Oryzias latipes: one gene and its partner. The protein of the gene in region 1 interacts with the protein of each later gene in a pairwise test. Links are inferred from orthologs where the notes say so. Each region holds a gene or a part of one and is shown on either strand. Other genes may lie near its edges. The genes, in order: aldh16a1 and dera.

Evidence for each region.
Region 2: the proteins of aldh16a1 (region 1) and dera interact in binary tests that used the Homo sapiens proteins (3 or more experiments, as listed by UniProt). The link is inferred for Oryzias latipes from reciprocal best matches to the Homo sapiens genes ALDH16A1 and DERA.

What each region holds. Positions count from the first base shown.
Region 1 is NC_019866.2:23,301,622-23,318,251, reverse strand, and holds the start of aldh16a1 (aldehyde dehydrogenase family 16 member A1), read right to left. Parts: upstream 13,710-16,630; 5' UTR 13,499-13,709; coding exon 13,409-13,498; intron 11,648-13,408; coding exon 11,548-11,647; intron 11,469-11,547; coding exon 11,342-11,468; intron 11,266-11,341; coding exon 11,108-11,265; intron 11,037-11,107; coding exon 10,959-11,036; intron 10,884-10,958; coding exon 10,696-10,883; intron 10,625-10,695; coding exon 10,466-10,624; intron 10,387-10,465; coding exon 10,228-10,386; intron 8,688-10,227; coding exon 8,531-8,687; intron 7,150-8,530; coding exon 7,074-7,149; intron 6,809-7,073; coding exon 6,703-6,808; intron 5,200-6,702; coding exon 5,078-5,199; intron 4,994-5,077; coding exon 4,820-4,993; intron 2,703-4,819; coding exon 2,498-2,702; intron 2,390-2,497; coding exon 2,204-2,389; intron 1-2,203.
Region 2 is NC_019881.2:11,374,778-11,391,407, reverse strand, and holds the start of dera (deoxyribose-phosphate aldolase), read right to left. Parts: upstream 12,237-16,630; 5' UTR 12,136-12,236; coding exon 12,105-12,135; intron 10,042-12,104; coding exon 9,944-10,041; intron 9,072-9,943; coding exon 8,924-9,071; intron 3,730-8,923; coding exon 3,634-3,729; intron 3,551-3,633; coding exon 3,416-3,550; intron 1,661-3,415; coding exon 1,532-1,660; intron 1-1,531. UniProt on the Homo sapiens protein: Catalyzes a reversible aldol reaction between acetaldehyde and D-glyceraldehyde 3-phosphate to generate 2-deoxy-D-ribose 5-phosphate. Participates in stress granule (SG) assembly.

The DNA of each region.
Region 1 (16,630 bases):
TTGAGTGGGGCTTTAAAACAAAGCAACAGGAAGATGTGGGACCACGGCAGCCTCACACATGCAAAGCAGTCACGGTTTCCTTCTGGCAGACTGTAAGCAGAAACTTTGCAGATGTGCTAGCTCTGGGTTAGCAAAGCGAACACTAGGAATGTCAGTGTTTCCATATTTACCAAGAACAGACCCGCAGAGTCCCGTCACTGACTGAAAACGTTCTCCAAATCAGACCATGGACTTTAAAATGTTGACCAATTTTTTTCACATAGCCAGTTGTACAAATCTGATGACTGAAGATGTCCAGCCTTTGTGGGCACATTGATCAGAGGGCCTGGTAACTGCAGCTGCGTTCGGTTCAACTGTGGGACCAACCAGAAAGTAGCCAATAGTGAAAACAGGCTGGCAGAGGTGCTCAAACTTTTGGAGTCACCAGAGACTGCTATGCAACACCCCATGGCCCTCAAGGCCCATAGGATTGGGTCAGACGCTCGTTGAGGTCTCCATCAACTGAAGCGGGTCTGACAAATGGTGTTCCAGGATGGATAACAAAAGATTCTGTATCAGACTTTGTTGGGTCCACTGAGTCTACAACCCTCCACCAATGAAGTCCCACATCAGTGACTACTGCCCTCACTCCACTGGTGATGAGGAGGTTTGAAAAGCTGGTTCATGCCTTCATGTGTTGAAGCACCAACAGAGGACACAGCCATGCAGGCTGACCTTCCACCTGGATCTCCCACAGAAACTCCAGAACCTGGGTTTCCCACAGTCCATCTGCAGCTTTCGTCAGCGCCAGCTAACCACAGGGCTGCGAGCTCCTGCCCTAACACTAACATTATTTCTAGGTATTCGGGCGCCAGTATTTATTGCTGGGGGGGGGGGGGTCACAATAGAGGGACGAGGTAGAGCAGCTCTTGGGGAACAACCTGCTGCTGCACTCCACAAATACAAAGGATCTAATCACGGACCACAGGAGGATAAAAATAGACATTTTCCATCAACAGGGACTGATGACAGAGAGCAGAAGATTGCAGGTTCTTGGGAATAGTCATATTTATTACTTTTTAGACTGTCACACCAGAACTACTGTTGCATTTTTATTTAGTTATGTTTAAATATTCCTATATCTACCTCATAGTACTTTCTTTTTATTATTAATCCTCTCTTGTCTAACTCCTTTAAACTTTTTTTTATATCTTTCTAGTTTGCACGGGAGCACAAGACACCGAAGCCAAATTCCTTGTACGTGCACTGTACTTGGCCAATAAAGGTGATTCTGATTTTTATTGTTTAAATTGGTTAAATGTCTATGGCTCTGAACTGATTAACACTAACATGTACATGTAGCATGTTTCAGTGACCATGAAAGCATGTTCTATTCCAGGGGTCGTCCACCATCGGCGTGCAGGGAGGAAGACAGCGGCACGCAGAGGTGTGACCAAAAAAAAACAACAAAACAAAAAGAAATCAGACTTAATAAAACTTTATGGTTTCCCAGAACATACATGACTTACCATGTCAGGCTTCATGAACAGGCGATTTAAATTAATGCGCACCGTAAGGGGAAAAAAAAGTTTGCCTCAGTGAAACGAGAACGTAATAATGAGTCGATGAGATGATAGGCGGGACGATATGAGCGAGTGTCTGTGGATGGAACGTGAACGTGAGTGGGAAAACCGCATCTGAGAACTGCACACGTTTATGAATAATGACGCTGTCCAACTGCTGAAAATGTACATTACTATGATTAGCAAACGGAAATAAAGAGGAAAAACATTTAGATTTAAACGCAATTAAAAAAAACGTAAATAAAATTACTCAGGCCCTGTCTCATAATGTAACAAAAGACGAAAAAAGCCAAAATTGGCTCTTTTTTTCCATGGTTGTGAAGTTCTTGCAATGGTATTTTGTTCTGACGTCTCTAATCCTAGTGCTGACATACCGAAAACGTAGTACTTTTTGGTTCAAAGTTGCAATAATATTTCAACTTTGGCCTATTTTTCTTGTGCAATATTGTTATGAAAGCACTTTTTCTAGTTAATGCCAAAATCTGTTTAATAAAGACCAGCTGTTTGTGAATTAAATAAAATTTTAGGTATATTGGAAATACCTTACCCTGCCCTGCCCCTGCCCCTGCCCTGCTCTGCCCCTGCCCTGCCCCTGCCCCTGCCCTGCCCTGCCCTGCCCTGGATAACAGTTGGCCGTTTACCTGAATGAAAGCTATGGTGGGCAGTGGATGCTTCTGGCTGGGAACCATGACGACAGCGTTTCCCGAGGCAATCGCTGCTCCAAGAAGCGTCACCATAGAGAGGAGGGGGCTTTCATCGGGCAGGACAACCCCAACAACCCCCAGGGCTTCTGGGAAGGAGAGGGCGGAGCCCGATTTTGGCATGGGCTGAAAAAGAGGACGGCGAGGGAAATAAGGACCCATGGAGAGGGAACACTGAGATGATTTTATGGTCCCACCTGACAGTCAGCTGAGACCACCTTCACGATTCCTCACCAGAGATCCTCCTTGCACTTTGTCACAGTAAGCCGCCCACAGAGCGAGCCTGGTGATGCTTAGCTCCACCTCCTTTTCAGCCTCGTCCATGGACACACCAGTCTGGGTGTGTAGTGATGTTGCGAGATCTTGCCTCTTTGCCTCCACGCCCTTCACCAGAGCGTGCAGCGACAGCGCACGTGCAGAAGGAGTCTTCTTCTGCCAGCTGGAGGGAGAGTGGAATGTTCAGACAAATGTTTTCCCTCCAGGCGTGAGGAATCCACCTGGATTTTGTTCAGGTTATGAAAGAACAGGTGAGTCAAAACTGACGCTCCACCCTCAGCTGAAGTGATGTGCAAACGTGGCGGTCTGACCCACAGCGATGTCTCACTGTGTGCAACCACCGCCTGACCGACCAGCTGTCAGAGGTCACCGTTACCAAACAGGAGAAATGCCCAAACACAGCAGGACCATCCAAAAACCATCTATAAGGATACAGATCTTTTAAACTGTCGGAAATTTGAACGGATGTTTAAAGCGTGTGGAACTCGAGTTCCACATGGCAAACAGGAAGAATTTTGTGTCGATTGGTAATTTCACACCTGACCCAACATAAATTACATTTGGAGTTCCCCAAGGCTCCCTCCTTAGGCTACTTCTATTCAACAACTACATGCTAAGAACAGCGTCATTGGTTACCATAGCGACGCATGGCTCTCCGTAAACACATCAGAGACAGGGGATTTGTTACTTTTGACACATTGTGGGGGGGGGGGGGGGGGAACTAAACAGTGTTTTTACAGGTCAATAAAAATTCAGAACTCTGCTGCTCGTGTTCTCATATGGACCAAAAAAGTAGAACCACATCAGTCTGGTTCTGAGGTCTTGACACGGTCTGCATGTCTGCCAGAGGAGAGACGTTAAAGTTCTGTTGCTGGTTTATAAACCTTTGAATGGTTTAGCACCAAAATACAAGACTGACCACCTGACCCAGTCTGTATCGGCCAAATGTCTGTGCTCATCTGGATCCGGTCTGCTGTCTGTTCCTAGAGTCAAACCAAACACGGAGAAGCTGCGTTCAGTTTCTATGCTCTACAGATCTGGAACAGACTTCCAGGAAGCTTCAGATGAGCAGAAACAGTTTATTTAAATCCAGGATAAAAAACCACCTGTTCTCCAGCTGCATTTGATTCAATCCAGTTTTTTTTAACTTTATTTTTATCATCACTCCTTTAATATTTCTGTCAAATGTTTCTAGTTTGGTGTAAAGACCTTTGAATTGTCTTTGTACACAAATAAAACACATAAAGCTGCTTTGCTACATGAGGGACCGTCCCAGGAACAGAACTTTATCAGGTCACATCAATAATTTACTGCGTAGCTGAGAAAGAACTCGGCATAACCCTCCCCTCTGAACAGGACTTTGGCACAAGATCCAAAAAAAAAACATTCGAAAACAACAGATATTTTCTAAGAAACTCCAAAGCCTGGGAAAAGCTAAAACGGTGTCACTTCTGAGTTGATTTATTTAGAAATGAGTGACATTTATAGGTTTAAACCTGAGAACCATCAGAGGATCGAAGGACTGTTTGTTCTGTTCTAAAGCTCTGAGAAGGACACGTTTCCATGGAAACCTCAGGTTGCTTCAGATGTCTTTAAACTTGGCCGTATTAAGGTTCATTTTAAGTTTTTTTTTGTTTTGTTTTTTTAAAGATAATTTTGAATTTTTTCATACAAACCGACGTGAGAAATACCAAATCAGTCGGGATTAAACGTTACCAAACCACTTATCTACAGTGATATGGTTGGACCGTCCAGGGTCAAAGGTTAGGCTGGTGTTTGCTGAGCTCAGCGCTCACCTGCCTGAGCACACCTGGTTCAGCTGATCCACCAACACTCAGAAAACAGTTAACAGGCAGCATGGAGGACCCACTCTGAGAAACAGAGCAGCAAAGACTTCAACACTTCTACAAATAAAATCCGACATTTGAAAGTGCAAATTCAGCTAAAAACAAACAGGGGCGTGGCTTTGAGGGAAAACCGCTGACACAAGAAAAAGGTGTTAATCTCGGCAACTTCTGTAGGACTTTTCTGGAAGACCGATGGCAGGACTCTTCATGTTAGCCTTTGAGGACATCGACCAGAAACGCAGAACAACTCAGAACAATTCAGACGTTTTTAGACGTTCAGATCTTCAGCACTGAAACTTTTAGGAAACTGTTTAAATTTAATTGGATCATATTTAGGTTTAAATGCAGATCATCTTTACAGAATAATGAATGTAGCAGCCCTGTCCTCAGAGCAGGATCACGGTAGATCGTCCTGCTGGGAGGTTTCTCTCACCCGGGCTGGACTTTGAGCGCTGCCTCCACGGCGTTTCGGACATCTTTCCGGCCTCCCTCTGGACAGAGCCCCAGCACGCCGCCGCCGCCCCCTGGTGATTGCACAGCAACACTGCAGCCAGACACTGATTTACAGGCTTTGCCCCCAACAAACTGCAGGTAGGACGGAGGAGAGCTAAGACAAACACAAAGCAGAGTCATTTCAACTTGTCCCTGGGCTGTTGTAGGATGAACAGACTGATTAGTAAGAAGCTTTTACCTGGCCGGGTCAGGAATGACTGCTGGTGACTCTTCTGTCCCAAACTTTGAGTAATCCAAGGGGACCGCGGATGAACGAATAGGAAGAGAGGAGACGGACGGACGCAGGAACTGGTACAGACCCTGACGGAAAAGACATGATGTGAATCAAACAGGATCCAGCAGAAAGCAGACGACTGTGTTTTCTACAGAGATCTTACTGTTGAAGTAAACAGAGTTTGAGTAGCTTAGGGCTGTGCAGGGCTGTATGTAGGGCTGAAACGATTCCTCGAGTTACTCGATTACAAAAATTCCTCGAGGCAAAAACTCTGCCTCGAAGCCTCGTTAAATTCCTATGACGCGCACTATACGCGCGGCGCAGGGATTTGATTGAGTCACACGGACCGTTTATTCACACGGACCTTTTAAATTTAGTTGGCGCGATGGCAGAGAATAGATCTATAAATTAACGGCAGAAATTGTCTTAAGTGTGGGATCATTACACACTTCATAAAGAAGAGAACAAGGTGCAGTGTCTCTACTGCAAAATAGAGCTGGCATACCACAACAGCACATCTTCCATGATTCAGCATCTGAACAGAAGACATCTGCGTGACCGCTGGAACCCCGACGCCTTAGGCGCGGGACCGGCGCGTGGCTCCGGCAGCGAGCGAGGGGCGGTGTCAGCCGCTCCGCGGCGACCAGCGCGGGCCGCATCGGCGGGCGGCGAGGGCCCCTAGCTGCGGTATTCAGGCGACCGGGCCTGCTTTGAATACTCTAATTTTTTCAAAGTAAACGCTTCGGACCCCGCGGGACACTCAGCTAAGAGCATGGAGGGGGCGCCGAGAGGCAGGGGCTGGGACAGGCGGTAGCTCGCCTGTCAGCGGACCGCGAGGCTTCTTTAAGCATTGCAAAAATAACAAAAGCATTATTTTTACACAAAATATAAACAATGATAATGATCAAATATGTTTTTCTGATTCTTTTATTTTTAATGGCCTTCCATTTTGGTGTTGTGCCACCCTTTCAAAGTCTTCTGCCCCCCATACAAAATGTTCTAGCTCCGCCACTTCTCAAGACCAACTTAAAAACACCAAAGTAACATTTGCATCAAAGCGGATCTTTAAAATCAAATGCTTGTTCATTTTACAACCACATCATTTTTGTTATGCATTATTTGTTTTGGTCGTTCAAAAACACACACAAGTCGTTTTATCCGATTACTCGCTTAATCGATCGATTAAGTGCTAGATTAATCGATTACAAAAAGAATCGATAGCTGCAGCCCTAGCTGTATGTTAGCGAGACAGCATGTAAACAAAGGGCTCTCAGCAACAGGAAGAGGAAGGGGGTCAACAGTCCCGCCCAAACTCAGACATGAGTTTATAACCAACGTGAGCTGTGCAGAAACTATGCCATGGAAAACGACACATGTTTTTGGATTTTGGCTAAAAACGGTAGACTCATAATTAAAAACCACTGGGAGAGTTTTGGAAGAGCTCAAAAGATGATGGGAGTGCGTCTTTAAAGACTCAAAAGCACATCTTCAGTCTCATTTCATGCATCTCCTCTGCTTTTCAACAACAGTTCAACTCTGAACGTGGGCTTAGCTCACGTCAGAGCTCCGATCCGTCCACCGCGGCTCACCTCCTGTCCTCCGTCTGTGCAGCTGCCGCCGTCTTTGTGAGCGCAGACGGGCAGACACGGATCCACCACCGAGTGGGAATTCACCCACACCGAGCCCACCGACAGACTGAGGAGGACAGCAAAGGTGTGAAGAGCGTGGCAGCTAACACACACACACTTCCCAGCTCCGCCCTGCAGGTTTCTGAGTCAGCCTCTTTCAGGCTCCTTGCAGAGCTGAATTATGGGAGCTGAGAACAACCTTTCAGACAACATCCAAGTAAAAAGCGAGAGCGAGAAACAGAAAAGAACGTTTATAAATTATGAAGCAGAAAAAGGGACAGTTGGACACAAAATGAAGAAAAGAGGGAAAGGAATCAGGGTTTAGCGTTTACTTCTTGGCGGTCTCCAGAGCCAGAGTCAGGTCTTCAGTCCAGATGGAAGCTGCCAGGCCGTGAGGACTGTGGTTCCCTAAACACCACAGAGGTCCACAGGTAAACCCACAGCCTGTTCTGCCTTTTCAATTTAAGCCAAACAGAAGTCAGGCTGCACGACTTTGGATCGCCGCCTTTAAAACTCAGCGTAAAACTGTACTTGGAAAGGGCCGATATCGTGCTAAATCAACTCTATAGAGTATTATCATGTCCCTTCCCCGACCCCAAAGTGGTATTTTGATCCATCCTTTGAGCACCAGCCCCTCCCAATCCATGAAAACATTGTGATGTCATAAAGTGAGTACCCGCCCCTTCCAGGAAGAGTCTGCGCGGCTAGCCCCGCCCCCAGGCTAACACACACACCCACTTTCTCCGTCGAGCTAGCGGTGATCAGCTAAACGCTTTCCTTTTTTAGGCCCAATATCTGAAAAGCTTCAAAGCATGATACAGGGCCCTTTAAAAAATGAATAATGACTCCAGGACATATACTGCCCCCTACAGGTCAATCATTAAATCGTTACAGTAGCTCAGTGTTTTTAAACTGTTTCTAAACAGTTTTTGAGCCCAAGTGTATTTTTCACTTGATTTAAAAAAGAAGAACACAAACCAAAAGTGTACTAAAAAAAACTCTTTATTCTGTATTCATTACTCAGAGTAAAACTTGGTTCTGGTTGGATGAACTCAGAGCTGATATCCAAGCAATGACCATCTTTCACTGGTTTAAAAACACTGCACTGGCTGGATGTGTACCGCCCTTTTGTTTGGGGTTCCTTCCCTTTTTTTGTTTCAATGTGTGGGAAAAGGAGGGGAAAATGCATACATTGTTCCGTATCACTTATTATTCAATATTGCTGCACTAAAATCCAATAAAAACTATTTTGAAAAAAACAAAAAAAAAACACAGCACTGGCTAAGAGGTTCAGATTTTTTGAACCACAAATAGATTTTTTGGGGAAAATTTACTCACAAATCCTAATATGTAAGTACATATACAGTAAAACTTTACAGGTTGAACCACAGTAAGGAAAAATAATGGGGGGGAAAAAGGAATTAAAAAACATCTTTTCAATCGATTTGTGCTTACACAAAAAGATAAAAGGAGAAATCTAGATGGAAAAAACTCAAACAAACTGAAGAGAAATAGACTTAAAAATGAAAAGAATGCTGTATAATTACTTTGAAATATACCACATATATGAAGAACTAAATACTAACCTTGAAATTTGGGGTAATTAACATGTTTAATATATTTTTACAGCATTTATTATTAGATTAAAAGTATCTACACTGATTTCTGAATCTGTCAAAACCGGCACACATTTCTGAGAAGCTGCAATTCTGCGGTTCTGTTTTATGTAACGTTTGGAGCAAAGTCCAGAGCGGCGGTGGCGGCGGTGGCGGCGGTGCGGCGTCCTTACCCACAGCTACTGCCTCTTTGTGACATCTGAAGGTCATGAGCGGCAGCAGAGGTCCAGGGGCCGGGCTGACTACACACGGCGAGGCGGGGGCCGCCCCGCACAGCACCGTGGGAGGATACAGAGGCCCCGACGGGGGGGCGGAGCACGACTGGATTAACTACAAAGAAACAACAAAAGAAGTCAATACAATCATTAAACGTTGCTGATTTGTATAAACAGAGTTTAAAGCAATAGGGGGGGTCCAAAGACAGTCAGATCTGGCAGGGTGAACGCTTGAGAGCCCGGTTTTCAACCGCAGTTCTATAATTTTCATTAACTGAACATCTTGGGGGAAATGGAGAACTATAACAATTTTTTACTTTTTTCTACTTAACATGAATGTTATTTTTCCAAATTGACCGGTGAGCTGCAGATCTGGATTATTAACCCCCCCAAATCCAACCTCTCAATGCTGAGTGCCAACCAGGGAGGCATTGGGTCCCATTTTTAGAGTCTTGGGTATGAGTCCTTGGCCTGGATTTGAACTCACGACCTTCCAGTCACAGGTTGGACACCCTACCACAAGGCCACTGAGCTGGTGCAACTACAGTAAAAGAATACAGGTCCAGGGTAGATTTAAGTTAATCATTGCCCACATGTGGGCATGTAGACGGTACATGAGAACTGGACTGAGTGGCCCCTCCTCCTGTTTGGCGTTCCCAACAGGAAGTACCTGCTGGTTCCAAGAAACCAGAACCCCATAGACTTCTATAGAGAAATAAACAGCAATTGCTCATCCATTCTATTGGTCAGAATAAGTAGATCTGATACCTTTTATTTACATGTTCTTGATTATATGAATATATAAAAAAAATCAGTAACACAAGTTATTCAAATTATAAACTAGCAGATCAGATGCCTCAGTAAAAGTAAGTGGTCTCACGTATGACGTTCGAAACGTTTGATTATCAGATTCTCCCGAGCTTTCATTGGTAGGGTTGTGGACTTCCAACAAGCTCCCTCCTGTTTGTCGAGAATGGTTGCCATAGAAACGGTGACACAGACCGATTCAGATCAATTACTGACGACGTCTGGCTCCAACACGGCGGCATCAGTATCATGAAAAAATGCAGAATGAACCGAGCTGGAAGTAAATCATTTCCCATTGATAGCGCCACACTCACTCACTCACTCCAGTTCCTTTATACAGTCCATGCTTGTGTCCAAATTCATTCCCTGCTCACCACATAGTGCACTATGTAGCGCGTTTGCCGTTCTGCAGTTCTGTGCGAATCTACAATTCCAAAATCGTATGCCCTAGAAATTTCCCAGAAGTCTCTGCCAAAAACCAGTGTGCATCAATGCTCACTAGATCGGTGAATTTAGACCACAATGCATTGCGTCTGAACAAGTTTTGCCCAAAAAATGCATTTAAATGTATTTTTTTTTTAAATAAAACATCAACGTTTTTATCTTCAGAAGACAGTGGACTCATAAATAATCATCATAAAACGCTCATATTAATTAGATTTTAACTTCGTGAAATTGATGACGTCATATCCACCGTTAAAAAGGTATTGATCATTGCTTTTTCAAATTCAGTGCACTACATAGTCCCACACTATATAGTTTTTTAGTAGTTAGGGGTTAGGGTGGGAATCCGGACAGCACCAATGCTTGGGCCGCACCTCGGACATGTCTAAAGGTTCCTGACTCACCGTCGCCCCCTGCTGTTGAGCTTCCTGCACTGCGGTGTCCACCAGGCTGCGGTCAGCCTCACTTTGAAGGGAAACGCACTTTAACCCGGCCAAGCGCAGCTTCAGACGATCCACAACGTTGTCGCACACGCTCTCCTGCACGCACAACACCCAGTGCACCTGAGGGAAGAGCGCAGAGAGGACTCTGGAGCAGACTGCAGCTGGAATCAGGCGAACATCCCATCCTTTGCTGCATCACCTCACTCTTCTTCTTAAAGGCTGCCTCTATCACTTCGTCCACAGCGCTGTTTATGTCCGCCGACTCAAAGATGATGAAGGGACACGTGGCCCCAACGCAGGGGGACACGGAGACGGGAACCCCCATCCCTGCTGAAGCCTGAACCAGCGCCAGCCCGTCCTGGAGCACAGAAACACCCGTTAGACTGTAAAGTCAGCTCCATTACCCCCCGGCTTTGAAATGTCACACACTGGCTTGCTGCCGCTGTAAGTGACGTAGCAGATGCTGGGATTCTGGGCCACGTTGACGCCGAGCGTGACGTCACTTCCTGTTAGAACGTTGAGAACCCCAGCAGGAAGTCCCGCCCCTGAGAAAAGCTGCGCCAAGAGGAGAGCTGGAGGGGCAACGCTCCGCCCAGGAACAACAATCACAGCGTTACCTGGAAATGAGAGAGAGCAGGAGTCTGTAACGCCGAAGGCGAAGGGAGCGGGGCATGTAGGCGCCTGGGACTCACCCATGGCGAGCGCTGGTACGACTTTCAGCATCAGAGAGTAGACAGAAGAGTCATCAGAGGTGACAACGGCCACCACACCTGGAAAAGACGACAACGAAGGTGTGTCAGAGCGCCGTAAACCACGGTAAAAAAAAACCACAAAGACTCACCAAGAGGCGTCCAGCCGGAGAGGAGCGTGTCCCGGAGCTGAGCCCAGCTGCTGTAGAACTGCAGGAGCCTGATCAGGGACGGAGGCGAGCACGCCATCGCACAGAGCTGGGACAGCTCCGACAAGCACTGACCGTGCAGCCCCAGGACGCCCACCAGCCTGACAGCAGAGGACAGGAAGGTCGTGAGACGAGCGGTCCACACGGAGCAGCTCCGTGGAACGGCGTTGGACAGACCTGAGCAGCACTTTGGCTCTCTGGTAGCAGCTCAGGAGGCTCCAGGACTTGAATGCGCTGACAGCAGAGGCGGCGCACTGGGAAACGTCGGCCTCTTCGGCACACAGCACGCCGCACACCTGACCGCCTGGTGGGTTTAGGAGGAGGAGTTTCCTATGGCCGCCAAAAAACCACTAACAGGTTTCTGTTCATCGGTCGGCGCTCACCTTTAGAGTCGAGAACGGAGAGGCTCCTCCTTTCTGCCAAATGAACAAACTTCCCATCAATGAAGAAGCCCAGAGAGCGGGAATGATGATCCAGCCAGGCCTGATCAGGAAGTACAGAGGACAAAAGCTTGTTGGGATCCCTCCTACTGTCTCATTCATCCAAAACATGAACTCAGAGGAGCTGTAATCTGTCCCAATATCTGTCCTCATCTAGGATTATGTTTCTCTGTAATCACACTCAAAACTAAGTCAGCCATTTAGTATTGAAATCGCAAAAGAACGACTCCATATGTTTATGATTATACAGAAAAAATTACATTTAAATACAATTAAACACAATTTTCAAATCAAACCAACCGATGCATTTTTTGTTTGTCACCGTAAAAAGATAACCTCAAATAAAAAAATAAGAAGAAAAAAACACTTAAAAGACCAACATTTTTTTAGTAATGGTCTCATGATGGAGGACTTACATAAAAAAAAAGAAACTTAAAATTGCATGTCTGAGTATTTCTTTACTCAAATCATGGTGAATCAGGAGCAGATGAAAAAAACAGCAACGGGGAGGGGAATGGGGGGGCGGGGTTGCTCCACACCAATGGACCCGCCCTCAAAATTTCTAATCAACTACTGCCGCTCTGCAGAAACTATGTCCTGGAAAGCGACACTAAAAAGATGATCAGATGATCAGAGTGGGCCTTTAATCAAAAGTTTGATGCATTTAACAATACTATAGTTTTACAGTCAGTTCATTTAATATTCATGTTAGAGATGTTATGGAATTACGTCTTTGAATTAGTTTGGTCACATTTACTGTATGTGATATGTTCATATTTCTGCTAACTCTTTAGAATGAAAGTGGCTTCCACATTCTGTATTAAATATGTTTTTGCAGTCGCATCTGAGTCAGCTGAATTAACCATGTTGATGTGTTGAATTCAAGACTATTATTATGAAGGAATGGTGCAACTTTAACTATTATTAGATATTCTACCAGGTGCAAACAAGACAGATCTAATTTTATTTTTTGGATCAAATTGTGTAACATAGAGCAGATGAACAGGCTGATAAGACTATAGAAAGGAGACATAAATCAAAACTCGAGCCCAAATTCATTGGTGGGCTGGATGCTGCCCCCTGCATTGGTGCTTTTTTGGTGGAATCTGTTAAAAATTTACAAGCAAGAAGAGCAAAGTGCAGAACTCAACATTTGCAGTGAAAAACTACAAGTAAAAAAAGACGAACCTGCAATCAGTTGTATTTATCTAACATGAATTTAATAGTAACTGATGAGACTTTATATGCTGGTCGTAATACAAACGACAGACTCATGGTTACAATTATTATATAAAAGTAATGTATAGATAACTATTTGTACAGATACATCTGTAAAAAGCATCAGCAGTGTATCTCAGAGGGATTTTCAAGGATTCCGTTTGGTTTAAAGGGTTTTCCTCACATTGTATAAATTTAAATTTGTGCACTTATTACTTACATGTGTGTACCCATAATGCATCATTCCATACCGATTTCAGGAAAGAAAGAAAAAACACACAAGTCTGCAATAAACGTTAAAACCTCATCTCTGCAACAATCCAAAGCTGTCAAAAAAGGTTCCAGTTCAAACCAATAACTAGAGTGACTTTATTTTACTATGTTGTAAAAAATAAAATAAAAGGACAATAAAAGGGTTCAAAGTTAAAAACTCAATAAATGTTTTAGAAAAACATGAAGTAACGTTAAGTTGAAACACATGCTCCACTCGTGGGTGACTGTCAGCTGAAACGTCGCGTGTTCAGGCGGGTCTAACTTAAGACTCCCGGGAGGAAAACGTACTTTAGCGGGTTGTTTGACACTTTACCTGTGCGGTGGCTGCGGAGGAAGGGGCAGCGGGTCCGCTCTCCATGCTTCGGAAAATGTTGAATACTGTCTCGGTGGTTGGACCGGCCATACTACAGAGGACTAGTCCGAGTGGAGCACGAGGCAACTCGCCGGTTTGAGGTGCTACTCAGATTTTTAAAAATGTCAACAATAAATAAAACTGTTGTCACGTTTGACATACAGATATTTTTTTTAGCAGGAGCACTCCTGAGATGTCACATGGACTACAAGATGCTAGCTTCCCTGCGCCAGATTCTAAGCTCCTCCCACCAACTTCCGGTCCGTCTCACACGCTTCATGCAGTGCGACACCATGGCGTTTGTCGATGCACCCAGCAGTTGGGTTAACACCCACTTAAATGACTTTTTATTTATGTTTATTATTAAATGACGTTTTTAATTCAGTGACTGACCACCGCAAGAAGGTTGATATTCTTCCGGTCGATAATTTAAACAGTAACACTTATTAATGTTAGGACACACGTTATAAATTTTTTTTTACCACAGTGTGAAACATTTCAGCCAATTTTGCTGAATAAACTAACTAACTAACTAGCTACCAAATATGATATACCTAATATATTATAATAAAATATAATTTTAACCTTGCTACTAATATGTACAAGCTTTTTTGGATAGAGTCCTACTGGATCTATGAAAAAATGTATCTTCTGGTTTGAAGTTATTCTCTTTAATTACACAAAGTTTTTATTTTTTATCACTGATATTTTGTATTTAACTTAAGATTTGGGCAGATCATATTCTAATTGGAGCATCGATTAAATTGCACCGGTTAATTATTTGAATGTAATTTTCTATCAGTAATTTCTTTTGGTTCATTTGAAAGACTTTATGAGTTTAAAAGAATGATGATCAGTTGTCACAGTTCATAACATGAAGTCTTTGAGTGTGTCGTATGAACAGGGAAGTGTTCATCTTCTGTTTTTGCTCTGTTTAGTTATGCTCAATCTTCCTTAGTTGCACCTAAAATTTTGTTTAACTTTATTTGTTTTGCCTTTTTGTAATATAATTTTGGAAAACTTCACCCATAACTGTTAAAATGTATCTATCCATCCTCCTCCGCCCATCTGGGACAGGGCCGCGTGGGCAGCAGTTGAAGCAAAGATGCCCCGACTTCCCTCTCCCCAGCCACTTCCTCCATCTCCCCAGGGGGGGACCCTTTAACCCTTGTGCTATCCTATGGGGTCAAGATGACCATTGACGTGTTCTCCCTACCATGACAAAGGTGGATAAAGGTGGAAAGGATTTCATGTAATCCATGGAAACCAGTGAAGATTGCAAATCATAGAAGAAAAAAGGTTCAGCGCACTGTCTAGTGGGTCTAGATGACCCAACTCCCAATGTTACAGTGTCTAGGATAACACAACGGTTAAAATTGGAACCAAAAGGCTGCAGAGAAACCCAAGATGCCCAAGCCCATGAAAGTCAGCGCCTTCTGTGTTTGTGGAAAACGCTAATGTGACATAGTGTTAGTATAAAACCTTCAACATAGAAAAAAATAAATAATAATAATATCAAACTTTTATTTCAGACTCAGGTGGTCCATAGGAAGAAAAGAGAATAAAATAAAACATAAGATACAAATACAGTATTTATAATAAAAAGTAAAAAGATATAACTTAAAAAGAGTATAATCGCTGTATCCAGTGTTTCCTTAGGGCAGAAGTGTAGCGGCATGAGCTTCTTTTGGGATCAGTCAGAGACATGATAATTGAGTTCTTAGATTTGTCCAGGCGTTCCATGAGGCTGTATGTAAGCTTACGCAGTAGAGCTTCACAGGTGGGGATGTGAGCGTCCACAAACAGCTGACTGGCTCTGTACCACCTGGGCACCTGTAGCAGAAGCCTAAAAGCATCATTATAGGCCACTAAGAATTTGTGGAATGTCCCACGTCCATAGTTCCACCAAAGAGGGGCCGTATACAGAGGAGTGCAGTAAGATCTGAACAGCGAACACTTCACTTGAAGAGAACATGCACTGAATTTTCTCATCAGCATATTTGCCTGAGCATAGAGTTTACAGTACTGTCTCTGAATGTCTCTATCAATATATCAATAATATATCAATAATAACCAGGGCCTAATTTTACGTGTTTGTCCTGGTGCCTAATGGTTTGAGCCTTGAGGAAGAACCAGAAAAAACTCACGATGTTAAAAAAATGGCTAAAACTAGATGGAAGTACACCTTATATAACTCAATGAGGCAGCGATGAGGTTAAATGTTCAATGATCCTATAAACTGCATAACAGAAATATCGTTGTTTTTGTTGGAATCTGTTGCTTTAATTCCTATTACCGGTACTTAAAAATGTCTTGTTTATTTCTTCAGTGTTCTTTACAAAGTTATTGGATTAAATCTATCAGTAGGACTTAAAGAATATTGAACAAGCTCAATGGTATTAAGAACTGGCCGAGCACCTTTTTTTTTCAAACCTTCCTGTGGAGAAAGTATATTTCTTCCACCTGTGGTCAGAGGGTCATGTCAGGGTTGCATTTTGTCAACTGCACTGTTAAACCTTTAATAAAATTTAAATTCAGGTGAATAGTTTTTGATACTCTAGTCTTAACTGATGACTTTGTGATCATATCTCCCTCTAGTGCCGCCCCTCATAAACTGCCGAGGATATCTTTAGGTCAATGACTTCCATCGTGTGGTTGGTTCTATTCAAACAAAGAAAGACTAAAGATAAAAGTCTTGAATTTCTTTAAATTTTTGGATTACTTGTTTGTTTGTTTGTTTGTTTGTTTGTTTGTTTGTTTGTTTGTTTGTTTGATCAGGGCTTCAACAATGTGCACAGGACTAAGAACATTTTAAGAGATGTAATGGTGAAACTCAAAGCCATGTTTTAAACGACATTTAATGCATATTAATGTATCATGTTAGATACAATATGTAGTTTTCTACATGCATACATCATTTAATATGTTTCTGTATATGTTATTATTTACAGAAATACACAAAGTGGATGCAAAAACAACTTCTCTACTGGCTTCTGTTAAAGCCATGTTTGTCACTTATACCTATGCTTTACTGACTCCTTGCTTATTTACATTCTCTGAAAATGTCATTTAAGGATCTTGGGAATTCTATAAAGTTGGATTCTTCCCGTGTTTTGGGGAAAATTTCTGAATCATTTTTTGTCCGTCTAAGCTATTTTGTAATTTTCCTACTTTTATTTAATT
Region 2 (16,630 bases), on another chromosome or scaffold:
GCCGGTTTATCAGCGGCGAGTAAAAATAGAAGATGGAGGGCGGAGCAGAAAGAAGGATTCTGCGAGGAATGACGGCTCATTAGCCGACAGAACTCCAGAACATTTCCTGCTTCATTAAAACCACCTTCTTCCAGACCGTTTTAGGCCTCCTCTTCCTCCAACCGCCATGATCCCACAGATTCGTTCTGAGGAGTCTTAATTAGCAGATAATGAATAAGGGTTATTAAATGTGGGGGGCAGTAGTGAAGCTCCATCCATTTTGGAGGGGGTCGAGGAAAATAGCCTCCTTCACAGATTGATCGCCAACGTTCAGTTTCAGAAACTCGTGTGTGATCCATAAAAACTCACAGATTTACATAAAGACTAGAAAATCTTTTTAATAATCATCTCTAACAGAGTTGTTTGGAGCGGCTTATTATGGGATGGACAGTTAAGCTGCTTCTCGGTGTGTTTAAGCAGCTGTTGCCCGGGGGAACAAAAGCTGAAACATCTGAAAAGAGGATGGAGTTTATGCAGAGGTCGGACATGATGGAGGATCGTGGCGACCTTCAGGCTCAGAGGTCTTCCTCCAAACCTTCTGGACGATCTTCAGCTCCTCTCCTCTCCCTCTCACTATCAGCCGTTAGAACTGATCTGTTTGGAGGAGGTTCAGCTCCTCCAGGAGGTTCCAGCTTCTTCTTTAGTTTTTTTTTTCATTTCAGTCACATTAAAGATAATTGGGAAACCTCTAAAAGCCCTTCTCAAGTGTTGTGTTCTGTGATGCTACCTTCACACCAGACATGTGATGCGTGTTCAAGAACACGGTAAAAGCGCATGATAATCTGGCAAATCTGGCTCCAGGCTTTTTCTGTCACAGCTCTTTTTCTTTCTTTATTCCGATAAATGAAAGACTTGGTGTCTTAGAATTCCAGCCAGGCACAAACCGCAATTATTCCTTTCTCCTTCATGATCAATTTTCAAACCGTTGGTAGAGTTGGTATTACCAAATCCAAGTCTCTGTCTGGTCAAAGTTTAAACTGGTTTAACTTTCAGCATGTTGAATGGCTGCGCACTTTGTATGTAGAGTCCAAAAACGGTCGTAGAAACTTGCATAGCGACACATAAAAGCATGAGTTTCAAACACGAAGGCCCGTTTACATAAACCTTTAATAAAAAAACAGGTGGCTTACTGTGGTTATCAAGAGCGATGTAAACGTAGCCTAGGAGTTCAGACATCAAACCCTACTGCACAGATTTACACTGACAATTACAAATACTTCATTTAAGTCTTCTTTCCTGTTCACAGCCTACCAAAGGATTTTAGGGTTTTCTCTTATCTTCCTTCACATTTGCTCAGATCAGCTTCATCTCAGTGAGTTTACAGTAAACCCAAACCTTTACACAAAGCTGTGATTATTTGGCCACGCCCCTTTCTTTATACCTAAACTGACATGAGATAATCCATGTCTGATTAAAAAAGGTTTACAGAACGCTCTGACATGAAGCGGTAATGAAGAGCGGAGTTGTGTTTGTGTGGCGCCGTGACACTGACCCGCCATCATGGCCACCATGCTGGCCTTGTAGACGTTGCTGAGGGTTTCCAGCTCGCCGACAGCCAGGATGGTCTTCATGTGGGCGTCGCCACAGGCCTCTCGGAACAGCCGGATCTCATTGAACATGGCTGGAAGACAACCAGAACTGAAACTCACCATCAAAACAAGACTCTCGGGTCAGAACCAAACCTGCACTTTACATATTCATGTCCACTCCTGCTGAACTGAATGAACACACCTGTGAGAGATGCAGGACGGGCTCACACTGTCAGCATTAGAAAGATCACTTCAATGCAAATGATGAAATGCGTTTCAAACTTTGCACATTTAAAAAAACTTGCAGCCTGGAAGACCTTCATTTTCTTTTGTTCCTCTGTGCTTCCTGGACAACCTCCTACAGATGGAACGTCTTCCTTTAATCAAGCTGGTCCCACAATATCTCATCAGACACATCATCACCTCCCAGTTTTCTGGGCTTTGGTCCTTTTTTCTGCTTTTTTTTTTTTTTTGGTCTGAAGTTCAGCCTGTGTGGCTCGTCTTCTAACAGATGTTCCAGTATTTTCTGATGCTCATCAGCATCTTTCTTTTGTCCTACAGCAGAAGTTTAGTGACTTGGTCCTCATCTGGTTTATGACTTTTATTTTTACCATGTCCTATAAAAACAGCACATAGCTCAGAGTAAAGAAAAAAACACACCCCATAATATTTCTACTCTCTTTATAATCTGATTCTAAAAGAACTTTTATTTTGGAAAACTGCTGGATGTTCTCCACCACACCCGACTCTTTTTTGGCGCGTCGCTCGGTCACGTGACGTAAATCAATCTGCTGTTTTTCTAAAGCGGCTGCGCCGATCACCATGTTAAAGCCTTGAAACTAACAAAGTTGACAAAAAATGAAAATACTTGGAGAGTTTCTTTTAGCAGAAAAGAGCCTTCAGTATCAAAATAAAAGAAAGCTGCATTTAACAGACAAAAACCAGGAGTCTTTATTCCTAATATGGATTTATTGTGACAGACCACAATAATAATGCAAAATAATTAGCAAATGGTTATGTAATGTTACGAGGATGCTGCTAATAAAGTCCTTCAACTGGTGGATTCATGTTTATTTTAGAAAATACCAACTTAATTGATCTTTTTTTTTGTATCCGTCGCACCTTAAAGGTCAGACAAGGCTGAAGTTGGCGTCTGATTTTTTAACTTCCACTTTGACGGGAATGGGTTAAAGGGTTAAATTCTAGATCAGATTTTAATGGTTCCTATACTAAATCTGGTGTATAAATAGATTTTAAAACAGCTGCCAGTATTTTAGAAAGGGTGAAGATTAACTTTACCCTCAAAAGTTAAGGAAAACTGGCAGCTAAAATAAAAATCAGACGCCGACTTAGACATAGGCTGGTTTGTGAAAATATTTGTGAAAACTAGTGGGTTGCCTACAAGGTTGGAGACCACAGCTGTTAAGGATGTTCCACCACCATGGTCAGTATTGTCTGATTCTGTCCACTTGAACTAACCGGTCTCAGCAGATGGTTCCTCTGACTGAGTCGAGTTCTACTGCAGGTTCCTTCCAATGTTCCATTTAGAGGGACTTTCTTCCACTGTCTCCTTTAGCTTTCTCAGTACAACCGTTTCCCCAAAAAACTCTCAATGAAAATGGCGGGTGACTTTGACAGAATTAAGACAATCTGGCCTCATTGGAATAGGATTATAACAATGAATGGCTAATGAAGCTTAAAAGAATCAGCAAATCCATCAGTCGTTTACATTCTAGGGTTTTGAAAAGCAGAAAAGAAACAGGAATTTCCTGGAATTTTTCTGTTGAATCTGAAATCTGATCTGAAAAAGCTAAAGGCATCAATCAAGAATCTTCTTCCCGTCTTACCTTCCCACTGCCCTGTGAGAGCCAGCATCCGGTTGATGACAATGTCGATCTCTGTGGCTCCGTCGTTCACCGCAGAGCGGACTTCCTGCAGGCGGCTCTCCAGCGGCGTCTGTCCGGCCGGGAAGCCGGTCGCCACTGATGAGCACAGAGCACGGGGTGACGCACAAACACACACTGCAGTTTGTGTTGGTCGACAGTTGTTCCAGGTGTTGTCGTACCTGAGGCAACAGGAATGCTGGAGTTTGCTGCTTTCAATGACCTGACGGCATCAGCAACACGAGAAGGATAGACGCACACTGCAGCTGTAGAGATTCCTGTAACAAGATAAGGGATGGACATGAACCAGTCTGTGTCTCCCTCTGCTGGTTAGAGGCGGTACTGCTCCCAAGCTGTTGTTATTCAGTACAATTGAAATGTCCTTTTCTTTGTGTTTTATAGACTAAACCAGGGGTCGGCAACCCAAAATGTTGAAAGAGCCAAATTGGACGAAAAAAACAAATATGTTTGGAGCCGAAAAATATTAAAAGCCCTATTTAAGCCTTATAATGAAGGCAACAAGTGCAATATGTGTCTATATTAGATATTTTAGCCTACTATCAAAATGACTAAGTTGCTTGAAACACATAATGAGCATTATTAACGATTAAATGTTTATTTGCCCTGCAGTGCATTCTGCGGAGAGCAACGCGTCACGTGACTGCTCTGTTGTGCAAGTTTAACTTCATTACAATATTAATGAATTATGTTTCATTGCTTTGATAAAATTAAAGAAATTTAATAAAGAAATCTGATTTTTGATCTCATTTTTAGTTTGAGGATTCGAAGACAAAACAATAAAATGGAACGTGCATGACGACGCTTCAAGCATTTGCGGCGCCTGGAGACTTTCATTTAGCTCGTTTAGATGGCCTGTCAGTCACATCCACCAAAAAGTGCAGCTTTTCCAGCCACCCAGCATCTTCCAAGTGCGGGTAGTTCAGGTCTTTGCTTTTCAGGAATGTTTTCACATGTTCTAAACAGACGACAAAGTGACAAAAAGCGTCACCCCGGAGAGCCATCGGACTTCGTTTTCAACTTCATCAAGCAATGCACGGAACTGACGGCAGTTCCATTTACATCAGCCAGCTGTTTAGCGGTCCGCTGAAAGTTAAAAAAAAGCCCCACTGGTAGCAACGTGTGTCGTAAGCTATGACGCACATCTCTGTTGACAGAAATGCTGAAGCCTTATAATGTAATGACCCAGCCGGACTGTCACCTGAGCTGCGTAGCAGCAGCTAAACTGGTTACCAAGAAACTTTTAAAGAGAACTGTCCATGCCTTAAACAACTCACAACCCAGCACAGTCTCAATGACATATGGCTAGCAGGACAGGCAAATTCTACTTCTCTGCATCAAGACCACTTGTTCCAGTGCTCACAATCAGCTCAAACAGCATGGACCTGACTTCAGTTCACAACACTCTTACTCAAGGTTTTACCCTATAACTCCCACTTCCCATGAGCCTTAGGGGGTGAAGGCGGGGCTAGTGGCGGTCATGTGCATTTTAGGTCTGTTAGCAGCGAGGGATTTTGGGACGCAGTTTCCTGATCTAATTAGGGCTCAGCATGAGCGTTTCTGTTTGCCCACGTTTCTTTTAATATGGGAGTTTTGTTGTTCCACCTTAGTTTATTCTTCCTGTTATGTTTGTTTCTTTTTGTTGGACCATGAGTGTGGAAGGGAGAGAGGTCGATCACTACAGTGCAATGTTCAACGTAATGCGTGTCAAACAGATTGGGATAAGTAATGCAGGAAAAGTGAGTATACTCTCGGCTAACCTCTCTACTCCCTCCTCTCTGAGTCTCTGTGGAGTCGTGCGACTTGTTTCCAGCGCAGACAGTTGATTGACACTTCAACTTGTAGCCAGATTGGCTTGTTTTCCAGCTGTATGTGACTTACCTGCTGGACATTGCATTATCAATTCTGCAAGCTCTTACAATGGAAAAAATAAAGACTACTTATGTCTTGTTTTTCCTCCTACAGAAACCATATTAAAACAAAACACATTTTAAAACATTTTTGAAAATGCTCCAGGGAGCCACCAGGGCTGCGCTAAAGAGCCGCGGGTTGCCGACCCCCGGACTAAACGCTTCCACTGATCAGTCAGATTTACAAATGTTTAAACATTAAATTTCCTCATCAGAACAGACGCTAAAATCATTTTTCCTCAAAGCAGCTCTGACTTCAGTGTATGTACTGTCTTCAAGAACTGGATCTCTAAGTTTCATTGCTAAAGGGTGAGACCAAAACAGCAGCACCTGATTAGGAGGCCATTAGTCCCCAGCAGAACTTTAATCACTGCTGCTCTGATTGTTTGACCTTTGAACTCGTCTATCACACCTGATTTAATAACTGTCTTATTTTCAGGTCTTTACAGAGCAGATGAGCTCAATCTGGTGAATTATCAAGGGAAAATGTAAAAACTGGATGAAAAACACTGAACTACAGCAACAGTCCACGGGGCTTCTTGAAGGGAGTTGTTTTCTTAAAGATCCACTCCCGCTTTTGCTGTTTTTAAACATGGTCTTGTGACATTTTTCTGTTGATGGACATATAGGAAGTAAATTCAGTTTAAAAAAATGCATTTCTAAGTATTCTTCAGATTGTGGTGATTCAGGAGCAGAAAAAAATGCAGTTAAAAATTAAAAAAGATCGTATTAGTGACGTAGAAAATATACTGGGTGGGGAAACAACCTTCCTGCTCCGCCCCATTCTGATGCCTCCACCTGCAGACAAATGGATCCATGAACGTCTTTGTTTTACTCGTCTAAGCTGAAATCAGGATCTAAACTGTACGGCTGGATTTTACTCACCATTTTTGTTGCCCTGCTAATGTTAGCTTGGGGTTGTGAGAGGCTGTAAGCTAGTGGAAGAGAGTGTAAACGAAGAGCTCTCAGCAGTGGGGAGGGGAGAGGGAGCGGGGTTGTCCCGGAACAACAATCCCGCCCACAACTCTGGGATCTAATGAACTCCTGCCGCTCTGCAGAAACTATGTCCTAGAAAATGATTTTAGCTAAAAATGGCGAAATTGTGATGAAAAGACCACTGGGAACGCTTTGTAAATAGATCAGAAGACGATCGGAGCGGGTCTTAAAAGGACATGTGTCTGGTTGATAACTGAGCACAAATGAGCAGGAGACGACCATCAAACACACCTGTCATCATAGGTATGAAAAGAGTCTGTAAAGGACATGGCTTATGTCTAACTCAGCTCTGTCACACAGTGACAGGAAGTGACAACACAAACCATGGACCATAGACTCAGTCGTAAAAACAGGTTTGTATCTGGTGGCGGCAAAACCACAAGGGAACACCTTAAGCAGTGATGAAAGTCAGGCAAGCAAAAAATCCCTGAACTTTTCTTTGAGCGATATGGCGGGCACAATGCGAAATTTTGGAAAAATACGTGGTCTTAGATGCATTCTGGTGCATTCTGGCAACTAGTTATCAAGAAACTAAGACTAATTGGAGCATCATGATTTGTCATTCAAACCCCTAGTTTGACTCTCCATTAAGGACTTGCTGGTCCTAAAAAAGAATTTGGAAAATTGCTCAAAGTAACACAATCCTACAATCTACGCTTTTCCTTAAAGCTGCAAAACATACAATTGCTAAAATATAGTAACATCAAAGCCCCAAATGGCAAAAAGAACACCAGTAACTATGATATTCTATGAAAATACCTCAGTTATTTATACATTATTTCTGCTTTAGAAATGACTGATGTACAACATCCACTTGCACTGTTTTCTCAAACTATAATTACATCAAAATATGGGATCTGCTTTAAACTATAATTCTATAACATAATACATCAATTCTTTAACACCAATACTAAGTAATCTGGGAAATATCAAAACAAACATAGTGTAGCGACTAACGTTGTTGGGGCTCTGTTAATGTGTTCTGTGTTACATCGTTGCTCCAGTGTGATTGGATGAGCGGGAGAATGGGCGGAGGAGCAGACAATAAAAGAGGGGTCGTGGGTGCATGAGGGGGTGGGGGAGGATGGACGCGTTGATGGAAAGTTCTCATTATCGTTGTGCTGTATTTGGCGTGGTTACGGCCGACAGTAACTGTTCCTAAGTCATTAAAAAGCCTCACGGTTAGAAACGGTCGCCTCAGCTTCATTATTGCGTCAGTGGGACGCTACAATACAAACTAAACTAAACATTGTAAACATTATTTTTTAAGGGAGTGCGGGTCCAAACCATCAAATACTTATAATTAATGTCAACTATACTGAACTAAATCATGGTAATTAGGAAATACAAATAAATTAGATAGAGAAATGTATTCAAAATAAAAACTGAAACTCAAAACTAAAATTGAAATTATTTCAAAATGTGGTTTTGAGATTATTTTACACAAAATAGTATTTGACCTACACTACCTTAAAAATCTTTTTTTTCCAGCCAAGACCACTTCAATTTGTTTTTTATCGTCTTCTCACAACTGAGGTCGTGACCACGCTCAATAATGACGATGCCTGCCATTATTTTAACACAAATTTGATCGCAAACTCTTCAGATGTGTTTGTGAAAGTTTAGCGTGGGTCCGCCAGTTTTGGTCTCTAGGGAAGCGAGTCACGCTGACCACGTGGTGCAGACAGAGCCAATCAGACCCGTCGACGCATCCGAAAGCAACTAAAACGTCCCGTCATTGGTCAATTAGGCCGGGAAGACGGAGAGATGGCCACGACCATAGAGGAAGCGATCTGCGGAGAAATATAGAAAATAAAGCTAAAATTAGCTGATTTCAGACCATTTTTTAATCCGGAAAGCGATTTGTCCGTAGAGATCAGGTCTTTATTTCCCGGAAAGTACGTTCGGTTTGCTCAAAAACCCGGATTTCCGGGAATTCCCGGAAGACTTTCATCACTGCTTAAGGAACAGGTCAGGTACAGAAATAAGTTAAAGTCAATGACGTCAAGTCAGTTATTGATCTATTTTCAAAGTGTTTCCAGTGGTCTTTTCATTATTATGATGTTGTTTTCGGTCAAATCCAAAAACCTGTGTCCTTTTCTAGGAAATAGTTTCCGCAGAGCGGCAGGAGCTCCTCAGAAATTCACCTCTGAGTTGTGGGCGGTACTGTTAGCACAGAGCAACACTTCAGATCCAGATTCCAGTTCAGATGAGGAAAACAGAGACATTCATGGATCTGTCTGACAGAATAGAGCGGAGCAGGGAGCTTGTGGCAGCCCATAATAGTTCCCATGTAACAACTACAAAAGCATTTTTTTTCGTCTGTTTCCGATTCTCAATGATTTGAATAAAGAAAAACTCAGAAATGCAATTTTGATCTTAATTTTCTTTCTACATGTCCATCATCATCATCACCAAAATCATAATTTTCATCAGAGTTGGACTTTAGTCAATTCAAAGTTGCCTCAGCATTTACCCGACAAGCTAATTATTATCATGGCTGAATTGTTTAGCATTGTGGTGGTAATAACAAGGATAAAAAAATGACCTTTATCATGCATGTCCATCTTCCTGAGCAGGTCGTGTCTCACTGGCTGGATGGCTTTCATGCAGAGTCGATGGACGTTGGAGGGCGTGTCATCTCCAGACAAGGTGGTCAGATCAATGCAGGTAACGGCCTTCAGCAGCCAGGCAGACTGTCAGCAAAGCATTAAAAACAGAGCACAAAGTGTTGGTTCTTCCATCTTCTCCCGGCATAAACACACATAAAGGGAAAGTAAAGAAGTGAAATTGTTCTGGATGGATCTCATTTGGTCTCCAGTGCGACTGTGAGGAACCTTAAAGACTTGACCCTCACTTAAATCAAGTTTCTAGAACTTTCTCCTTTCGGATTGGAAATATTTCTAAAATCCGAACGCCCTGTCTCAAAGTGATGCAGAAAAATGACCTCATGCATTTGTTACTTTAGGATTAAACGGCTGTGATTCTTTACTTTCAGGCTGTTCTCCAAAATGCTGCTGCCAGAGTTTATTGAAAATGGGTAGAAGGTCATATTTAACACATTTGAAGTTCTCTCATTTTGTCCTGTTTGTTCAAAATAGAGTAGATTTCAGAACTTGAGAGACTTCATAAATATCTCAAAGATCCCATATATTTACCCAGCTGAGCATTTTGTTCTCAGTCTGCTTGATTAGCCGTTTAGGAGGTTTCAGAGCCTTCAGCCGTCAGGCTCCTCTTAGACCGAACCAACTTCCTGTTTCTGCTCAGGAAGCAGATTCTTCCTCTCTGCTTTCCGCTAAAGCTGATAGTGGAGGTGAACCTGGGGTAATTTGGCCTTCTTTCCAAGCAGCCATTCATTTTCTGCCACATGCTAACTGGAAAGTCCAGCAGCCCCCCCTCTGTGGTGACCACACCAGACCCCACCGTGGGCAGGCAGGCCGGAGCTCATGCCAGAGAGAAAACGACACATATTCAAGCTCATTTTTGATCAAAAAAGCAGAAAACAGCAAAGACAGGAGAGATAAATGTAACGTGTTAGGAGTAAAGCTTTGGAGGTGTGCAGACTCACCTGCCACTGTTTCTTAGGAAGCTTCTGTCCTTGAATGCTCTGAGCCCTCTTCAGGACCGCCTGTGTGTTCACCCGCACTCTGGAGACCCATTCCAGGTCTGGTTCCAGGGAGGAGAAAACAAACAAGAAAGACAAGAAGATGGATCAATGCAAGCAGCTGGCTGCTTTTCATTTTACTTTGGGATTACTAAAGCTTCTATTCTATTTTATTCCATTCTATTCATGATAGATCATAATCGTTCTCCGAGTCTCATTTCTGCCTGTCCAGCTTCACACTAACCACAACAGTCCAGCACATAATGCAGATGTTCCTCCATACAGCAGATGGCAGTATGCTCTATTCTCATTGGTTGATCATCCGCCAATGAATGAAAGATGAATTGATGAATTATAGAAAAAAGGCGGGAAAAAGGTTTGTCTAAAAAAAAAAACGTCATTTTACTCAAACCAGATTTTGGTGTCAATGAATACATGAAATAATAAACAAAACAAATGTTTTGGTTCATTGACCAAAACCATTGACTGTATATAAGAACTGGACTGATTGATTTCAGTCACCCATAAAAATATGGTTTACTTCTGGCTCCAACTAAACAAAGTCAATTCAGTTGCCTTTTTTTTTATGATACACGCATCGCCATGTTGGAACCAGACAACATCAGTACACAGTGATTGGTTTGAGACAGTCTGAGTCATTGTTTCTATGGCAACCAAACTCACCAATCAGGAGTGCGCTTGTTGGAAGTTGACACCCCTACCACTAAATCTGTCAAACGTTTGATTGCACACGCTATTACTGAGGCATCTGATTAGTAAAAGTCTCTGGGATTTTGGCTTCTTGCAGCCAGCAGGTATTTCCTGTTTGGAAAGTCAGGGGGAGGGGTCACTCAGTCCAGTCCTCATACACAGTCAATAACCAAAACTGTAAAAAAACTAACTTTATTTAACTCAAAAGGGTTTTGTACGATACAGGGATTAACAGACACACATTGTCAGGTTCATCCTTCAGTGTCCCAGACATTTCCACCAACATGAACCATCTCTGCTTCCTTCAGGTCTTGTGACTCACAGTGTGACCAAAGTCAGGTCAAACCAATCAAAGACATTTCCTGTTAATTTAAACGTATTTACAGCATTCCTGGAGCCAAAAGAAAAATGAAACACACCCAATGCTAAGCTTTGAGCGAACACCAGACACCATAGGATAACAAGTTCTCATGTCTGGAACAAACATCAACTGCTTCTCTCCTCAGATGGTGCTCAATCAAACAAAGTTAAGACAGTCCAGTCTGGGTTTAGTAAGATAGACACTGTAAAAAATGTCACTGATGAAGAGCAGAGAGCAGTATATGATGCATATGATCCATAAATTCTTTATGTTTCAGATGCTACCTGAGTGTCTCAATCAGGACAAAGACCAAAGAGCTGTCTAAGGACACCAGAGACTAGATAACAGACCTGAACAAGGCTGGAATGAACCGATCTGCAATAAGCAAACTGCTTCATGAGCAATTTTTAGAAAATGATCTGGAGAACGGCCTAGAACTACACAGGGAAACTGGTGAAAGACCTGAAGAGGGTTGGGAGCACAGTGACAAAGGTTACTATGGTAACACACAACGTTGTCTTGGCTACTCCAAAAGGCAGCACATGTCCAGACCAGTCTAAAGTTCTTCAGAGACCATCTCAACGATCAGAGGAGGATTTGGTGACCATCTTCTGATCAGATGAGATCACAAACACCACCTGCCATGTTTAGAGGATGAATGCCGAGTTATTGCCAACAAAAAGGCACTAAACCCACTGTGAAGCACGGGGGAGAGAAAATCATGGTTTGGGTCTGTTTTTATGCAAGAATCACTGATCTGTATGAAGGAAAGGATGAATGGATCTATGGTGGAACATTGAGGAGGAAACGTGTCTGGATCTTCCAGCAGGACCATGATACATCAGAACACCGTAAACATTAAACTGACTTAACCTGCTGGTCAGTCAACCTTGTTAGTTACTCATTAAACCTCAGCGGCTCTCTTCTTTTTTCCAAAGGATGCAACGACGCCTGTCAGCCCCGCAAAGCCCGCGCACCGCAGCTCCGCCTGTCATGGCGACTGGAGCAGAGCTGCACGGAACCGGAACCGTGCGCCACAAACGCGCCACTTACCGAAGGCTGTTCCGGGATTCCTAGACGACATGACCAAGAAACTCAACTCCGACCCTCACGGCCAACTAACTGAGCGAGTCACGTGGACAGCACGGGGCTGTCAAAGCGCTACTTCCGGATCTGTGACGTAGGACGTGGAGCCGGACGGGGAGGGGTGTAATTAAAAAAAAAAAAAAAAGATACAGATTTTGGGTTAAAACTGTTTAATTCACAAAAATAATTATTATTTTAACATAAAGCAAAGAAAACTATTTTGGTTTCACGACTCTACTGATTTTATTTTGAGTAAATTTCACATTCATCAGAAAAGGTGATCAAACCCAAATTTAAACAATTATATCAGGAAATCAAAAATGACGGCTGTCAAGAGACTTAGCTTGTTTATTACTGTATTACGGAATTTGATGTAATGTTTTTCTTTCACCACTGGAAGGTGCAGATTTTCAGGTAATGTATGTTTTGTCACTACTGGTAATGTATAAATGACTTTAAAGTGAGTTAAGAACAAGATAATTGAAACTATGTAAAAATAAACTTAAATCATACGTTCAAAAAATTAGCTAACTATAGAATAGTCTATTTATGACATATTTGTCTATTATGATTTCTGCTTTGCCTGCGCCTGCCTACATCTGCTTTGCCAATATCTGCTTTGCCTTTATCAGCGTTTTCTACAGTGGTGGACAAAACTGTTGCTACCCCTCAGTTAAAGAAAGAAAGTCCCCAATGCTCACTGAAATGAATTGAAAGGTTCAAAAGTAACAAGTTAAAATTTAAAATTAAATCAGCCATTACTTTTGAGTTGTTGATTAATAGAATTATTTAAAAAAACAAACTAATGAAATAGGGCTGGACAGAAATAAAAGACTGAGAACTAAATGCCCAGGGGGCCATGATGAACTCAGGTATGTCCTTTAATTGACATCACAGCTGTTTTCAAACCTATAATAGGTCAGTCTGCCTATTTAAAGGGAGACAAATAGTCACGTTGCTGTTTGGTGAAAAGGTGTGTTCCACACTGAACATGGACAACAGCAAGCAAAGGAGAGAATTGTCCCAGGACATTAGAAATAATGTTATAGACAAACATCGTAAAGGTAAAGGCTAGGGATGGGAATCGAAGCCCCATGAAGCTCTCATGGGGCTTCGTGTAAATGTGCCAGAAAAATGAATGAAGCATTCGGGGCTTTGAAACCACACAGAACAGCGGCATCTGATGGGAGACAGGACGTATATCATCTACTCCACTAAGTTCCTTGCCCTTGCAACACTTCAGTGTGGAAATAAAACAAAGACAATGTTTGAAGATTTGTGAGAAGTGCTTGTGTTACATTGTGAATGCCATGTATAAAGTGAGAATGAGTGATTGTGAACCAGGGTCTAACATGACTGGGTGGGATACATGTTATAGATTTTTATTTAAAAACAGAATTTTCTCCACTGTGCTGGGCTTCAGCCTGTTTCGTCTTTGGCTGACGATTTCGCCAGCCTTGGAGAAGATCCTCTCACAAGGCACAGATGAAGCTGGTGTGCATAAAAACTTCATTGCCAGCTTAGAGATGTGGGTATAAAACCTTGTGGGTAACCCAGTATCTCAGTGGGTCCTCAGTCCTTGAGATGTGGGGTTCCTTTAAGTACCTAGAAGTAAATTAATAGCCTATTGTCATACACCAGTTAAAAATGAGCAGAAGTTATGATGAGGATTCTAATCTTTACTGTACCTCTGAACCTCCACTGTTGCACTGGCAGTTGTGCTGATCACCTGCTGTTGAACCCCCACATGCCTGTCCAGCAGGGCCCAGAGGCCACCATCTTCCTGCTGACTTGAAGGACCTTCTCTAGGTGGCGACTGTGGCTGTGCCTCTGGAAGTAGCGCCTGCATTGTTGCAGCACACTCTTTAGTGAGTCGCTCTATGGCCGTGTGGGCAGAGCCTTGGCTGCAGAACCCCAGCTCTTTAAACCTTGGGTCCAACAAGGTTGCCATTGACAGAGCAGTGACCTTCTCCAGAGCTGAAAACCTCTCATGGTTCTTCAAGTTAGTGGCCAGTTTTTCACCAAGTGGGTGTGTGATCTGACCACACCTGCTTGAGATGTAATGTTTCAGCATTTTGTCCATGGGAATGACTTTGGATGCTGACACTCGTTTTTCTGTCGAAAGCTCAACTGTGACCTCTTGAAACGGTGAAAGAACGCTCAAGCAGTGGTGTATGGCCTGGTAGTCCTCTTAGGTGAGTGGAGGAAGGTCCGTATGGAGGGTGGCCAGAGCTGCCCCCAGTGGCTCTCTCTCCTTAAACAGCCTTTCCAACATATTAAATGTGCTGTTCCATCTTGTTTCCACCTAAGATAAGACAGCAAGCACATTTTAAAGGAGAGAAGAAAGTAACACAATAAACAACTGCAAAAACTTGTGAAATCTTAGATTAAAAAAAAGAAAATGTTTCACCTCTTGTATTAATTTGTGCTCTGGCCTGGCCAGCTGTCGCTGCATCTCTGACAGCTTCTCCTTCGCTGTGGTGCTGGATTTAAAAAGACCGACAATCCTACGCCCCTTACTTCGGATATCCTCTAGTTCAGGGGTTTGGGCAAGGGACTTTTTCACCACCAAATTAAGCATATGTGCAAAACACATTATGTGCCGAAGCAGCAATATATTAGCACATGCAACCATGTTGGGAGCACAGTCTGTAACCAGGCCTGTCACCTGGAAGAAAGATTACATGTTCACAAATCATGTATATTAGGTAGTGGGAGGCCATATTGATGAATGATCTTGTACTTTATTGATCTGGCTCGCACCTTCCCTTTAATTCCCCATTCTTCCATGAGAAGATTTTTGGCCTCAGCCAAGTGAGCTGTAGTGTGGGTTTGGGGAAACTTCAGAACCCCCAAGACCACAGAGGCCAGCTCCACTTAGAATGAACAAAATCAAACTGAGATACATAAACCAAAGCATTGCACAAAGCAGGGGATACCTACCTCCTCGGTGATAAAATGGCATGTTACAGCCAAGTAAGCGTCCATGTTAATGGATGTCCACATGTCTGCTGTAAGGCTGACAGCAGAGGCCCTGCTAACCACATCTAAAGCCTTCTCCTTTTTGGCTTTGTACTTCTCCTCCACCATTCTCCTCAAGGCCTTCCTATTAGGAATTATGTAGGATGGGTCCAAAAGGTTGACAAAAGCCTAATAGTGACAAATAAAATACAGCTTATTATGTACACAAAAACATAAATAATGTAAATGCTATATAATATTAGCCACCTTACCTGGAAGCCTTTGTCTTCAACAATTGAAAATGGTTGTGCATCCATTACAATCATATCCACCAATGCAGAATCAAGTTCTTGCTTTCTTGACACTGCAAAATATACATATGAAGAAATATATTCTTATTACCAATATGAGGTGGATTGAAGGCTTGATTTGCCGACTGCGGAGTTTCAACATGATGAACGGAGCGGAGATGTCGCATCATGGAGGATGTACTATCATTAAATGCAAATTCATGTTTGCAAATCAAACATTGCACCTAAAAAAGAAATGGAAAGAATAAAAATGATTCCTTTCAACTGACAGACATACCTATAAAACTGACATAATCAGCAATGGCTACTAATAAAATAACGTTAGTAGTGTATTACCTTATTTGGAGAAATCAAGTTGAAATGATCCCAAGCCACAGAACGTTTTTTACCGGGTGCCATGACGTTGATTCTTACGATACACGGGAAACAACAGAACTGGTCGGGAAACGTTGTTTCACACGCCCTTCTGATCAAACACACCTGAAATCTCAAACCTGGTTCAGGTGAGTGATGCATTTGGCGTGTCATACGTCATCAATCACGTGATCTGCGCTGGTTGACACACGCTTCGAAACATTGTGCCGAAACACTCTGTTTCATGAAGGTGAACCGCGCGCCGAAGCCCCGTGTCAAACGGGCCATCCCTAGTAAAGGCTATAAAACCATCTCTAAGCAGCTTAAAGGGCCTGTGACGACAGTGGCACATATTATTCAGACGTTTAAGACCCACGGGACAGTAGCCAACCTCCCTGGATGTGGCCGGAAGAGGAAAATTGATGACAAATTGAGGAGACAGATAGTTGGAACTGTATCCAAAGAGCCAGAACAACCTACAAAGACATTAAAGGTGAACTCCTAGATCAAGATACATCAGTCTTAGATCGCAGCATTCATCGTTGTTTGAGAAAGAGTGGACTTCATGGGAGACGACCAAGGAGGACACCACTAGTGAAAGGAAATAATAAAAAAACGAGAATTGGAATTTGCAAAAATGCATGCTGACAAGCCACAAAGCTTGGATCTCCCCCTCTCTCCTTCTAATATTTCAACAAATTATTAAGTTATGGGTAGCGTCCAGCCCTATTTCAGTAGTTTTTTTTTTAAATAATTCTGTTAACTCAAACGTAATGGCTGATTTTGATTATTTACTTTTCAATACATTTTAATTTATTGTTACCTTTGAACCTTTCAAGTCATTTCAGTGAGTATTGTGGACTTTCT